Linked DNA regions of Diceros bicornis minor. The protein of the gene in region 2 interacts with the protein of the main gene of each other region in a biochemical or structural test. Links are inferred from orthologs where the notes say so. Each region holds a gene or a part of one and is shown on either strand. Other genes may lie near its edges.

What was found.
Region 1: the proteins of AREG (region 2) and S100A4 form a complex in vitro, tested with the Homo sapiens proteins (2 studies listed by IntAct, with this or other methods). The link is inferred for Diceros bicornis minor from reciprocal best matches to the Homo sapiens genes AREG and S100A4.

Annotation. Positions count from the first base shown.
Region 1 is NC_080743.1:57,785,139-57,791,989, reverse strand, and holds S100A4 (protein S100-A4), read left to right. Parts: upstream 1-4,157; 5' UTR 4,158-4,263; intron 4,264-5,232; 5' UTR 5,233-5,247; coding exon 5,248-5,388; intron 5,389-6,177; coding exon 6,178-6,342; 3' UTR 6,343-6,346; downstream 6,347-6,851. Other genes in the region: S100A3 (protein S100-A3), read left to right, coding at 1,677-1,817, 2,325-2,486. UniProt on the Homo sapiens protein: Calcium-binding protein that plays a role in various cellular processes including motility, angiogenesis, cell differentiation, apoptosis, and autophagy.
Region 2 is NC_080747.1:60,207,103-60,214,868, forward strand, and holds the start of AREG (amphiregulin), read left to right. Parts: upstream 1-4,753; 5' UTR 4,754-4,860; coding exon 4,861-4,921; intron 4,922-6,049; coding exon 6,050-6,280; intron 6,281-7,766.

The DNA.
Region 1 (6,851 bases), on a different chromosome or scaffold from region 2:
AACACCAGCAAAGTGGTGAGTGCCAGCTGGGTCTTGCCCTGGACTGGGTGTTGGGCAGCTTAGGGTTGTCTCCTGGCCCAGGGTCTGGGCATGGGGGCAGAGGGATGACCACAGCAGGGACTGATGAGGTGAGGTGTTCCCTTGTACAGTGAGGGGCTATCGGGAAGTTTGGGTTAGGGGGTGTGCAGAGCTGAAGTCTGGCCCTGGGGTGGGGCCGTGGGCTAAAAGCGCTGGTGTTAGCCTCGGTTAGCTCCCTGTCCCTCCCCTCTGCCTCCTTCCTTCATTCCTGCCAACGGGTTGAGACAGGCCAGGGCTGCGTGGGGAAGAGAGGATTCCCTCCAGTCTCCAGGCAGCAAGCTTCTGAAAAAGCAACAACGATGGCGCCAGGCAGGCTGGCAGGAGCCCAGAAGGGCAGCTGGGCACCTCTGAGGTTCCTTATTCCCTGGGATCATGGCCCTTTCCTCTCCTGGGACCCCAGACACCCAGTTCCAACCCTGGGCTGTCACAGTTAGATCTCAGACAGTGCTTGGCTCCATCACCCCCTTCCTCCTATCTCCCCACCCCCTAGACACAACCCGGCTGGCCATTTGCTCCATAGGTCCCAGCAGAGGGGGAAGCGTTAGGGAGAGAGCCATGGCCCTGGCAGCCTTACACTGCAGGACTCCTAACCCTGGGGGAATAAGGAGTGAGTCACTGGGCTCACATGGAAACCACACTTGCCTTCCTGGCTGCCTTAGGGTTTTCCCAAGCTGGAGGCATCCTTCCAAAAGGGCAAAGGGGGGTGCCAGTGGAATTGGGGGGTTGGCAATTTCAAGAAGGGCTTCCCCTCTAACAGAACAGGGTACATCTTTGCAGAGCCTTCTGTCCCAAGACCCCCAAGAGTCAGGGGGATGGCCTCAGGTGGGGCAGATCACAGATTGGTAAATACCAGAGCCAGCTGTCTTGCTGAGGTCCCTGATGAGGCCTATGAGGTGGGATTAGCCCCATTTTACAGATAAGGCACCTGAGACCCAGAGAGGGTAAATGGCTCATCTGGGGTTGCACAGCTGGTGAGAGGCAGAGAGGACCCCAGAAGTTTCTCTTTTGGACGCAGCTTCCCTGAGTTTGGGGAAGGAGGGACCGTGAGGGGGTGGTGGTGAGGTGATGGGGGTTGCTCTCCTACTGATGCTCCCTGAGAATGCCCAGCTTCTCCATGCACCTGAGGACACGGACGGACCAGGGTTCTCCTCGAACAAATTCCTACAGAAGGAGCTCTGCGGTCCTAAAGGGGAGGAGGCTTCTAGGACCAGGGTGCTGTATCTTACGGGGGGTTGCAAAGTGGGACTGAGCCCTCCTGGGTGTCAGGGATGAGAAAAGGTGGAGGGAATCAGGGAGTCCTGAGGGATCCCCGGTGTGGGGGGTGCAGGTTGTGGGGGGGGGCACTCTTCCTGAGGGCTTTGTAGTGATGTTGGGGAAATGTCCAGGAAAATCATAACGGGCGACAGTAGAGAAATAAATTAGGAGAGGTGGGGGTGGTCAGGGAGGGCTGCTCAGAGGAGGAGAGCTTGTGGGACTAGAAGCCTGGCAGAGACTGAGACAGGTCTGGAGCAGTCCTGGGAAACACGGAGGGCAGAGGTGAGCAGAGGGGTGGCTGGGGCCTCTGCTGTGAGTCGCACCCTTGTTCTGTGACAGTGAGGATGGCCAGGCCTCTGGAGCAGGCAGTGGCTGCCATCGTGTGCACCTTCCAGGAGTATGTGGGGCGCTGCGGGGACAAACACAAGCTCTGCCAGGCGGAGCTCAAGGAGCTGATACAGAAGGAGCTGCCCACCTGGACCCCGGTGAGCACTGGGGTGCCCACCCCACGGGGAAGCACTGCTTGGACTCCACAAAGAGAGACCTGGGGACGAACTCTGCGCACAGGGCAGCAAGAGGGGTGGAGGCTGGACTGTGGGGCCGGGACTCTGGGAGAGAGCTGTCACAGCAGGTATCTCAGTTTCCTCATCTGTAAAATGGGATGACAGTCATCACCCTGCTGCATTGCAGGGTTGTCGGAAGGATGAGTGAGATCGAGGTGAAGAATGTCTAGCACATAGTAGGCACTCAGGAGCAAATAGTAGGTGCTCAATAAATGATCTGAGAAGGAGGATTGGGGAGTAGGATTGACATGGGTGAGTTATCAGAATAGGTAGGCTGAGGTTGGCCCCCAGAAGGGGCGTGGGTTGGGATGGGTGAGACCAACCAGGAGGGGAGAGGGTGGGAGGGAAGCAGTGCACCTATGCGTGCACGAGGTTGTTGTGCCCTCCTCAACCTGCCTCCTCACACCCCTCTCCCTGCTCCCTGCACAGACGGAGTTTCGGGAGTGTGACTACAATAAATTCATGAGTGTTCTGGACACCAACAGGGACTGCGAGGTGGACTTTGAGGAATACGTGCGCTCGCTTGCCTGCCTCTGCACCTACTGCCATGACTACTTCAAGGACTGCCCCCCAGAGCCTCCCTGCTCTTAGTAGCCTCTGCTCCAGTGGGCAGGGCTGGCCAGCAGGCAGGCGTCTGCTGGGGCCTGCTCCATCTCTGCCCTGAGGTGGTCCTGGGCATGTCATCCACTCCCCACCCCACTCCTGTTCCCTCTCCACTTGGAATCTCCCAGGTTTGCCCCTAATATGTTAACCCATTTTACCCAGGAAGCCAGGAGACGTGAGGGGACCTTCCCCAGGATCACAGCTAGTGACGGGTAGAGCAGCCAGCTGCTGCCTCCCTCCCGTGGCCTGTGATGGGTTTGAGGCTGTTAAGGACCAGCGGAGTGTGCGCATGAATGAGACCACGCCAGGAAAGGGCCTATTGAACTCCTAATAAAGAACTGGTGGCACTTGGCTTGGTTTGGTTCTTCTGCGATAACAGCTGGGGCCTCGAGTCAGAGTCCTGCTGAAGTCTTCATTCCTCTCTGGCCTTTTCCACGGGAGGACAGGAGGCTGAGGGCAGTTTCAGACCATGCAGAAATGAAATGGTCTCAATCGGCCAGCAAAAGGGGGTGGGGTCAACACAAGGACAACATCCAGGGGAGGCTGGGGGGTCTCTCTCTCTCTCTCTGGGGTTTTTGAAGAAGAAGCTCCCTTGGGCTGTCAAGGAGGGCGAGAGGCAGCCTGAGGTTCCCTGGGGTGGAGCTCAGTCCTCGTGACAGGATGTTCTGAGCAGGAGGGTGGGGCCGTGGGTGTGGGGTGGGTTTGTTCCTGCCCAGGGCTGAGGGAGCCCAGAGCGCAGCACTAATAGGATTAGCATGTCTGAGGTCTGATCAGGGTGTTGCTCCCACCCAGGGAGGGGGAAGGAGAAAACTTGAGGCAGACCCCATCCCTGAAGCCACAGCCACCTGAGGGCCTTCACCTCCCACTTCTGACCCTCACTCAATCCCTGAGTTCATACCCCACCCTGAGAGGTTAACCCTGATCCCTGCCTCCCCCATTTTGTGTGATTTCACCTCTAACTTTCCACGTCAACCTGCATTCTTCATTCCTGACACCCATCCCAGCTCCAAGCTCCCCCTCCTGACGCTCTACCCCTCCCACCTCTCTCGGTACCTTCAGCCAGCCCTTCCCTGAGCCTCCCCCGAGGACTCCCACTCTCCACTCCATCACTCCCTCATCCAGGACCTTTCTCCACTGACATGCCTGGCTGGTCCCAGCGTCTCCTTTGGGTGTTAGCCTGATCCCTCTCCCAGAGCCCCCAGGCCCCCCCTGGGCTTCACTCAGCACAGCAGAGAGCACTCTAGGGAGGGGAGAAGGGCAGAGTGAGTCGTCCCACAGCACTGAGCCTGAGGTCCCCTCCCTTAGTTTCTGGGCAGCCACATTTCCAGGGCAATGTCCCACCTGTCACTCACGACCCCTGGATCCCCTTTCCAAGCTGCCGGCTGGGACCACTCCCTCCCTGTCCCCCACCCCAGGCACAGACTGCCCCTTCCTCCAGCTCCCTAAAACTCAGGCTGAGCTGTGCTCACTGGGGGGTTGCCCACTCCACTGAGGCCCCCACCTGTGCCCACTGGGGCTCTCCCATTGTCCATCTGTATCTGTGCCACCCTGAGGCAGGAAGCTGGGTTTCCAGGCTGGGCTGGTGGAGGGGGCCGCAGCGCCTAAACCACATCAGCCCACAGCAGGAGGGCTGTCTTTCACTCTCCCCCATCCTCTATCATGGGCAGGGCCTGGCTGGGGTATAAATAGGTCAGACAGCTGGGCTTTCCCCACTCTTCCTCTCTCCCCAACCCTCTGTCCTCAGTGCTTCCTCTCTCTTGGCCTGGTGAGTTGTGGTTGCCTGACTGGCACGTAAGGGGGGTCAGGCTGAGGCTCAGGGCAGAAGTGGGGACTGGTGGGGGGCAGATGTGCTAAATGGGTCCAGATGTGAGATTCTGATGTGGAGGCTCTAGGGTGGGATGTGTGTGTGTGCATGTGTGCGTGTGTTCGCATGTGCACACATATGTGCACGTGCAAGACAGAAAAAACAGAAATGTGTGCAGGTGGCTGGATTTGAGCTGTCCGAGTGGCACTGAGATGCTGGGGTTTGCACGTGCTATTGTTGTAGCATGTTGTGGTGTGCGTGTGACCTGTGGGTATGCACACTGGTTTGTGTTTGCTGGGTTGCACAAGCCGGTGTGCACCCTTGGGTGTGGGAGGCAAAATGAAGGCAGAAGGTGACTGTGGGCTTTTGTCTGGTGGTGTCCTGTGAGCCTCTGCCCTGCACCCAGCAGCCCAGCCCAAGGGAGCTTGGCCGTCCCACCCCTTCCCTGTATCCCTGCCTCTGCCACCTCACCCTGCCCCTCCCTACGCTAGGCTAGGCGCTAGGCCGCTGTTTTTTTCCGCTGCAGGCCCCTGGGCAGGCCTCCAGCAGCCTTGCCCAGTGCTGGGAGGGAGAAGGATTGGCCTGGGTGGGGCTGCTGTGGGCTGAGCTGTGGGAGTGAATGGACTGAATAAGGGATGGAAAAAGCGATGTCGTGGAGGCATGGCCTGGGGGAGGCACCGGGAGCTTGCTGCCTGAAACCCAGAGCCTGCGCAGTGGCCCTGCAAATGTTCACTGCCCGAAGCTCGCATTTCCCACTGTGCATACTCTCCCAGCCAGCAGCTGAGCCCCACCTTTCCGGGCTCCCCCTGTGGTGGAAGCAGGGTCTCACCAAGTGTTCCTGGAGGGATGGGAGTGGGGTGAGGCATTCTGAATACATGGCTGGGGGTGGGGGTCGGGAAGATAAGGGTGTCTCTGTGACTCTGCCCCCAGATCCCGACTGCCACCATGGCGTACCCCCTGGAGAAGGCCCTGGATGTGATGGTGTCCACCTTCCACAAGTACTCGGGCAAGGAGGGTGACAAGTTCAAGCTCAACAAGTCAGAGCTAAAGGAGCTGCTGACCCGGGAGCTGCCCAGTTTCTTGGGGGTGAGTGGCTACTGCCTGGGACCATGCCCCATGTGGAGCATTCCCCACAGAGGAGGGCCAGGCCCTGGGAGGCACCAGCCTTTTTGCAGAGCGGTAGCTGTAGTTGGCATCTGTCACTGAGATGGGGAAGTGGGAGCAGAGCTTGCTATGGCTGCCTGAGGTGGAAACATGGCAAGCACCCACCACTCACTTCCTGGCCCTCAGCGGAGAGAGGGCTGAGAATGAACAGGTAGGTTACGGGCCAGACACTCTGCCGAGTGCTTTGCACAACTTAACTGAAGGGAATTTAAGGCTCAGAGAGGTTAAGTAATTTCCCAGGGTAGTCAGTGTGCACAGCTGAGACCGGCAAACCAGGACGGTCCGCCTCTTGCCGTCACCGCAGCCATGAACAATTTTTGAGTTTCTATTTGGCTTGTGGATGTGAAGACGCAGTTATGGAGACACTCACATGTCTACAGACTTCCCCAGAGCAATCACAGCTTCCATCTGTATCAAACTTTATGCAGTTTATATATTGCTTTCATGACCATTGTCTAATTGGATTCTTAATTTAACCCTGAGGGAAGACATTGTGGTCTCCTTCTCCAGCTGCACCCAGGCACTCAGGGTTCCTCATCTGAGGGGTAAACCTCCTCCCACCCTAGTTTAGCCCTGAGGGCTGGACTTCCAAAACTGCCCCCGAGGAGTGGCTACACTTTCCTGAGCTCTGATCTGGAGATGGAAACCTTGTCTAGTCTTGGCTCCACTCCCAGGCTGCTAGTGTCCACCTGTATCCTCTTCCCCCTCCAGAAAAGGACGGATGAAGCCGCATTCCAGAAGCTGATGAGCAACTTGGACAGCAACAAGGACAACGAGGTGGACTTCCAGGAGTACTGTGTCTTCCTGTCCTGCATTGCCATGATGTGCAACGAGTTCTTTGAAGGCTTCCCTGATAAGCAGCCCCGGAAGAAATGAAGGCTCCTCCGATGTGGGTGGGGGGGCCTGCCAGCTGGGGTCTTCCCTTTTGGCAGTGGGCACGGTGCCTCACCCTGGCTCCTCCAGATGGGTTTGTGATGCAGAGCAAGTTCAATAAAGATTCTTGGAAGCTTTGAGGCTGATGGTCTGAGAGATTCTGGGGTCGTGTGGTGGGGGCTGAGAAATATGTCGGGGTGGAAGTGGGGAGCATTGGGTGTTGAGCTGCAGTTTTGTGGACAGCAGACAAGTGAAGGTGGGAGAGGGACGTGGGGGTGACTGAGGGGGTGTGTGCGCACGTGTGTGTGCATGTGTGTGTTTGTGTGTGATAGAGTTGACTCTGATGGGGCCGAAGGCAGGGAGAAAGGGACCCCCAGAGGCTTGGAATGCCCCGGATGTGAGATCTTAGCAAGCCCACTCCCCACTCCCCACTCTCCGACTTTGCCTCTGGCGAGACCTATAACTGAAGCTGGAATGCAATTGAAGGTCACATCTACTCCTCGTTGGGGTCT
Region 2 (7,766 bases):
ACACCCTGTTTTCTGACCTTACATTCAGAATGGAGTTAGTGAGGATCCATAAGAATTTGGTGTTCATATGATTCCACTTATGTGACAAATTGGTTCCTGAAGAACTACATGCAAAGTAGATTTCTTCTTTTTCATATATTCAGACATATTTTTATTACACTAAAGCAGTTCCCTATTTAAAGGCATAGTATTTGAATCAGTTTGTAACATGAGTTTCTTAGAGGGTAAATAAATGTCTTCATCACACTTACATGCTTCCTGTTGAAATTCATTTCTCCATCCTTCACATTTCCAACAAAAATTCTACCTACATGAATGTGCAGCCCCACCAGTTTATAATCTCTCTGAAGATACCTTGATTTTTTTCATCCATGTATCCCCCAGTGGAGTAGTTCTTAATCAGAGATGCACGTCAGAATTTTCTTGAAAGTTTTTAAAAAAAAATACACAGGCCTGGATCCCACACCAAACTTGAATCAAGAGAGGAGAATGGAGGGTACATTTTGGAAACATTCCCTGGTGATTCTGATCAGCTGACCTTTAGCTAAGAGCTGGCAGTGCTAAGAAGGGTATTTGAGAAATGATTAGTGGAATGAATTCTTCTACAATGTCCTAGAATCCTCCACATTTTTAAGGCCCAATTCAATGCCTCTGTCTGTTCAGCATCCCTCATTCTTGTCTATGCCTATCTCTATCCCTCCCTCATTCCCATCCATGCCTCTCTCTGCTCTTCTACACTGTTATTATTGTTCAATAGGATAACCCTCTCTGTTTTATCCTGCCTTCTGTTTCCTCTAGAGAGAAACTGTGAACTACTTAAGTGTAGGGTCTATCTTGTATTTCTTTTTATCATCTTCTTCCACCCTCCCAAGTCCTGTATATCCATATTTTATTTCCTTTCCAGCACTTCTCACTACCTAAGATTATTTTGTGCATTGTTTCCTTGTTTATTACGTGTTTCCCTTTGATAGAAAGTAAGGTCCTTAAAAACAAGGACATTATGACTTATTCAAAGTTATATTCACAGTGCCTAGGAGAGTATCTAGTTCTCGAGACATATTTGATGAGAAAACAAACTACCTAGAGGATTCAGTTTTTTGTGTAAATGTAGTTAATTTTATATGACATTTACTTAGCTTCCATTGTAAATCATCACTGCCTTCACATCATCAAATCATCAACTGCCTTCAGTCCCATCTGCTAGTCCTTGCTCTGCAAAAGCCATCATGTTAATGCTATAAAGAGCAAGTAATTTGATTTTACTAGTATGTCAAGGCACCCAACAGTCAAGGTCATTTATGGTGTCTTTTTGAAGGAACTAGAAATTGTATATTCTTTAGCATGGATACATTCCAAGGTGAAAAGTAGAAAATTATGGACATCTAAATGGAGCTAATGCATCTGTTAATAATACAGAATATGTTACTTATACATTAGAGAATTTCTTTCTTTCTTTTTTTTTTTTGTGAGGAAGATTGGCCCTGAGCTAACACCTGTGCCAGTCTTCCTCTATTTTGTATGTGGGATGCTACCACAGCATGGCTTGACGAGCTGTGTGTAGGTCCATGCTGGGGATCTGAATCCACGAACCTAGGCCGCTGAAGCTGAGCACATGAACTTAACCCCTACGCCACCAAGCCAGCTCCTAGAGAATTTCTTAATTTTAGTTTAGGGGTTCGTGTGTTGACTCATAAAAATGCCCATGATATAATACTTACTCAGACCCTGGCACTATCTGTAAAAACTCAATTATATGAAGAAACACATAATTATACTTTTGGTTCTATAGCACACCATTTAGCTGAGTCAAAGTGAGTTTGTTTCCACTATACATATAAAATATTATCAGGATCCAGATACTAGGCACCAAAAGGAATGGTTGGCTAGGACCATTTGCCCGTAGGGCTGCCCTTAACCTTACACTTGGTGAGGAAACCACCGATTTATCAGGGTAAAGAAGAGCTGCTTTTCTTCTTGAATTTCTTAAAATTTTTCCTCCTCATCTCACCTTAGCATGCAGAATGTAAAGAATCCCACATTTACACAGGGTTGATTTCCTTCTCATGCATATATGCCAGAATGCCATGAGTCATCAAGGGGTGCTGCCATTGTGATGCAATTGTGATGACGCCCCATGTTACCCTATGATGCACCATAAAATGTTCAAAATGGTTAGTCTTAATGGGAAGTAGGTACAAAGTTCATGGCTTGAAAATATTGAAGGAGATTATTTCACTTGCTCTGTGAGAAGCTCCATTTGTAAGTGTCACTTAGTTCTTCAATGTGATTAATATAATGTAAATATTATAATGTCAACATTAATAATAATAGTTACCAAACCATTTATTGAGCACTCACCATATGCTAGGATATGTGCTACTTGTATATGTATCTTATTTCATTTGATCTGCTTAACAGCAGGTAGGTATCTTTATTCCTATTTTCAGATGAGGAATCTGAGTCTTTCAAATATTACGTAACGTAGTATCTGGTAGAATTTGTATATGAAAACCCAATTGGTTGAATCTAAAGCTCATACCAAGCACTAGCTATTCTGCCCCTATGATGCTATGTTATATTCCACACCAACATAAATTATCACCCTCTACATTTCCAATGGGAAAAAGACCAAGCAATTTCCAATGTAAAGAGCCCACTTACTTCAAACAAAGTAAAACATTTCTGATGACAGATATGCACAACTCACACTTACTTGCAATATGAAGAAAGAGTAAGAGAAAGGGAAGAACAGGACTAAAACAAAATCGAAACCTATGAGAACAGAAAGGTGCGACCATTTAGGCTGACAGCTTGGACTCTAAACAAAATCTCCACCATCTTTTGAAATCTGTGGGCAAGGCTCTGAATGTCTCTGAATCACAATCGCCTCATCCACCAAAAAAGATGACAATGCAGGCCCCTGTTTCACCCTGGAATGGGCAGTGCCATTTTTCTAGCCTTATTTTCCATTTTCGGTTACATCTTGTCATCAGGTTTTCTTTCCATTTAAACTTTCTGCTGGGATGGCCATTGAGCGGCCTCTCTTACCTTTCCACAAAGCTTTCTGTGATATGCATGGGCACGATTAAACTGCATCCTTGTTTTCCACAGCATTCTGAATGCTTCTTGTCATCTAATCTACCAGAATTACTTTTCTATGTGTCTGGCCCACACCATACTGAGCTTTGGAGAGCAAAGAGCTGGTCATCATTTAATCTTCCTCTTTACTGCCCCCCTGCAGTAAAATAAACAAAACAAGTGGATTACACAAAATGTGCTCTCAACAAATGTCAAATAGGAGAGAAGGCATGATTCATGACTGCTTATTTCATCGTCCTAAATGTACGGTATTATTTAGCCTACTCACTACGATATGGCAATAAAAAGTAAGTAGCTTTAGAAAAGTTTCCCAGAATTAGGACAAATGCACTATGACCCACATTCCTAAAAAGTCTGTTTCACTAGAACAATCAGAGAAGAGATATGTATCCTCAGGACAAGAAAACACTTAGAACAATGCTTTTTTCTCTTAAGGCAAGAAAAATCCAGTTCTAGAGTCGTCTCTGCATCAAAGTTAAGTCAAATTAAGCAGCTGCCTCCTTCCCTCTTCATTTTATCTACTTGTCATGATTAAATACCCTACTAGGTTCTAAATAGGCCATCGAAGCTCGTCCTTTTATCTCGGGATTTGAGAGGCACAAGCTTGGGCACCGCCCTTCATCCAAATGCCAATATGCTACCAGTCAAGACTACTCCTTTAGGAGGCTAAGTATTGTTCTCTCCACAAACTCTCTTTTTAAAGATTAGTTTAGTCTAAATTCCTTTATGAGAGAGGAGAGAGACTTCAGAGTCAGATTAATTTAAATCCATCTGGCTTCTACCATGACCAGCTGTGTAAAGTCCTCCTTGCTTTGTAAAGCTGCCATTTGTCCTCCCTGTAAAATAGAGAAAATGATGCTTACCCGGAAAGGTTTTTGAGTGAGATGGTGTAGGTAATATTTTTAGTGTACAGTTTGCCAGTAATAAGTGGTCAACAAACATAAATTTTGATGAGATCCCTGGGCCACATAAAGAAATGGGGAGGGAGGTGGTTTGAAATTCTGGCCACTTCACAGCAGTGGGTGCGAAAGAGCCCTTGGGTGAGATATCTCCCATCACAAACAAAGCAGCTCCTCATTAGGAGGCGCTCTCTCTAGTCATTTAATGAACTTCATTTACCTTTGTTAAACACGTCTGGCTGTCATTGTTAGGTCACTCTTGGTCCTAAAGTACTTTTACATCTCAATATGGAACTTTTCTATTTAATCCCTGTTATAATATTAAGATCAACCAAAGCGTATACCAAGCTTTTTCAGATAGTTTGAAAAACTGAGACTTGCACCTGTCAGATAGATGGGAGCTCCCCAACTCCACCCCCGCCCTCGATTATGGATCGGGTCTTTCTCCGGCTCGCAGCGAGGGGTTTGACTTTCATCTCCTCCCAGCGGCTCTGTAGGCTCGCGGGGGTGGGGCGGCCGCCGTCCGTGTGTGGTTTTGGGGTAGTAACCTCTTCTAGGGCGGCCGCCCGCCTCCACCCTCCGCGGCGGCCGTGACGTCGCGGGCGATGCCTCGTCCCCTCCCGGCCTATAAAGCGGCAGGTGCGCGCCGCGCCTCCGGAATGTTCGCACACCTTGTGCCTGCGCCCGGGTCGGAACCGAGAGATCGGAGGCGAGCTCCAGGGGCTGCAGCCCGCGCCCGGCCTGGCCTGCGGGCAGAGCCGCACACCCCGCCTCGTCCCCTCTCTCCCACCCCCTCCTCCTCCAGCCCGCAGCTCCGGCCGAGTTGCCCCAGAGACCGCGACGCCGCCGCGCCGAGGGACCAATGAGAGCCCCGCTGCTGCCGCCGGCGCCGGTGGTGCTGTGGCTCTTGATCCTCCGCTCAGGTGAGGACATCCCCGCTCTGAGCTGCGCGGCGCTTCTCCCACGGCGGGCAGAAGCTGGCGCCTCTTGAATGTTGCTGCTGCTTCTCCTAAAACACCATACACAAAAAACAAAAAAACGCCTTTTGGCGCCCCTAACTCTGTCCCGCGGGGGACGGGGGGTGATCAGGGTATCTCCCTGTTACTCACTGGGAGAAAGAGAAAAACGGGTAGGTGTCTCAGACGTTCCAGTCCAGGAGGAGGGTGCCGGGAGAATCCCTGTACTTGTACTTTAATCCAGCTGGAGGAGAGTTGAGAGATCCTGTGATCCAAACCCTTCGTTTTACAGAAAAAGAAACCGAGATTCAGAGGGGCAAAGTGATTCCCGCAGATCTTAGAGCAGAGGAATTGAGTCCTGGACCCAGCAGTGCTGCCTCCTGCCTAAATTCTCCATCTCCTCTGTCTAGTGATCTTGTCTTTGCCTTCCTGGAGGGCCTCACAGTGTCCCAGGGAGAAGTTAGAAGCACCGATCTGAGGCTGCTTTAGTGAGACCTCAAAGATAAAACAGGGGCTTGAAACTCTGGGCCCCAGATCTTACCTAGTCCCTGGCTTCTTCTGTATGTCAGAACAATGATAGCGAAACAGTGGCAATAAGAATCAGTCTTATCAACTACCATTTACATTACGTTTTACATTTTATATATGTAATCTTTTTAAAACGTGAGCACGTGTTAAGAAAATCTGATACTTATATCTAGAACCTGTCTACTAAAATGGGACAGGTAGCATTCTAGAAAACACAAATGCATTTGATATGTGAAGTGATGGGAATATTTAGACATTACCTGTTAAATAATTATATTAATTTGCCTATTTGGCAGTTTTTTTTTTTGTTTGTTTGATGTGGAAATTAATGTAGACTATCTGTGGAAAAGAAACCTTGATGAAAGAAGCTCTGTAATTGGAACAGCTGAGTTTGCTCCTTGGCAAAGTGTGGAGTTGCTTTCGTAAGTGACTCAATCACAAACAATAGCACATGTGCAATAGCTGCTTTGATATCAGAAGGTAAATATTTCTCCTGAACTCAGCTGGCTGATGAGAAAGGCTCTCTGCTTTACCTTTTCTGTTTTTCTCTTCTTTTTTCTCCCACAGCCCATTTTGCTGCTGGATTGGACGTCAATGACACTTACTCTGGGAAAGGGGAACCATCTTCCGGGGACCGCAGTGCTGATGGATTTGAGGTGACCCCAGGAAGCAAGATTTCCCCTGTGAGTGAAACGCCTTCTGGTAGCGAACTGTCCCTGGGGATCGACTATGACTATGCAGAAGAGTATGATAACGAACCACACATATCTGGCTACATCGTAGATGAGTCAGTCAGAGGTGAGTAGAGGATAAGGTGAAAATGTAGCCTGTGAGATGTGTGTGGATGAGCGAACTGCTTCAAAAGAAAAGCCATTCCTTGCATCTTCTAGTGGCTGTCTTGTGTGTGCGTCTGCTGCATACCCCCTGGGTAAGCTACGAACGGAGACGGAAAGGCATATGTGGGCACATCCTATGTCTGGAGCTCTAACAAGTGTTTTAGGTCTGTTAAGTCTAATCTTCACAACAACTTTACAAAGTGGGAATTATCCTTTTACAGATGTGATAATTGAAGCTCAAAATGATTAAGTGTTTTGTGCGAAGTTCCACATCCAGCAAGCAGCTGAGCCATAATGAGAACCCTAATCTGTTTGGCTCCAGATACTGTGCTCTTTCCCACTGTGCCACATGACATAAACTCCATCCTGAGAGAGCGGTGTAGACAGCAGTCAGTGCTACCTACATCTTATCTTAGCTTTTGTATCTACTCCTCACCACCACTCTTCCCTAAGTAATTGCATTTTAACACAAATAAGGGAACAGAAAAAAGTAATGGGAAAGGAGCAATTGGACTTTTAGCCTTTAAGTACTGGGTGTTGAGAGACTGCTGATTCTAGTGATTATAATAATAGTATAACCTTCTGGAAATATTAAAGGACAAATATGCATGGATTTTATATTGCTAAAATTATGATTTAATCCCGAATCCCATTTGTCAGTTAAATAATAGTGACCCATAATTTTCTTCTCTTTTACTGTTATCTGATCTTTAAAAAAGAGCATTTGCTTAAAATGAGGGTACCAAAGTAAGAGGTAAGTATTGTTCATTACCCTCATATTACTTTGGAGTTTGAGGGCAGACGAGGTCATCAGTAAATCAGATCCACATATCCTAGGAGCATCCACTATGGAGGCAGAGCATAAGGCCCTTTCTCTCCTGACCTTCATTTCCTTGACTCCTCTCCCTCTGGCTGGCTCCCAGAACTGGTGAAGGGAGCGCAGGTGATACCATAGGGACAGTGACTGGGTTAAATGGCATGTGGGAAAAGCTTTACTGGACACTTCACTTTTTACTCCCTTGCTTCAGAACTTGTGCTTTAAGTAAGGTGGGCAAGGGGTCCATTTATAATTTTTATTTTTAGAGGGATGAGATTAGACCATCAAGATTCTAGAAACTGTTCTCTTAAAGATATTTCAAGTTGTTAACGTCTGAAAAGGCCAAATAAATTGTTAATAGTGAAAATGGCTAGTGCTTACAACTGCAATGCAGTGTGAAATAGAGTTGGCTGAACTCCTTTGAAAGGCTGTAAAACCCATGGGGTTAATATCTATTGTAGCACTTCAGCATAGTGACTATTCATCCCTGTCTAAAATTTGTAATAGATCTGATAAAGTGCAGTAATAGCCATTTAAAATGTTTCTATTAGAGGACTTATTCTAACTTGTGGTACTTTTTTATCATCAGAGGAAAGTTTCAGTATAAAAATTGCATAACCACCTATTAAAC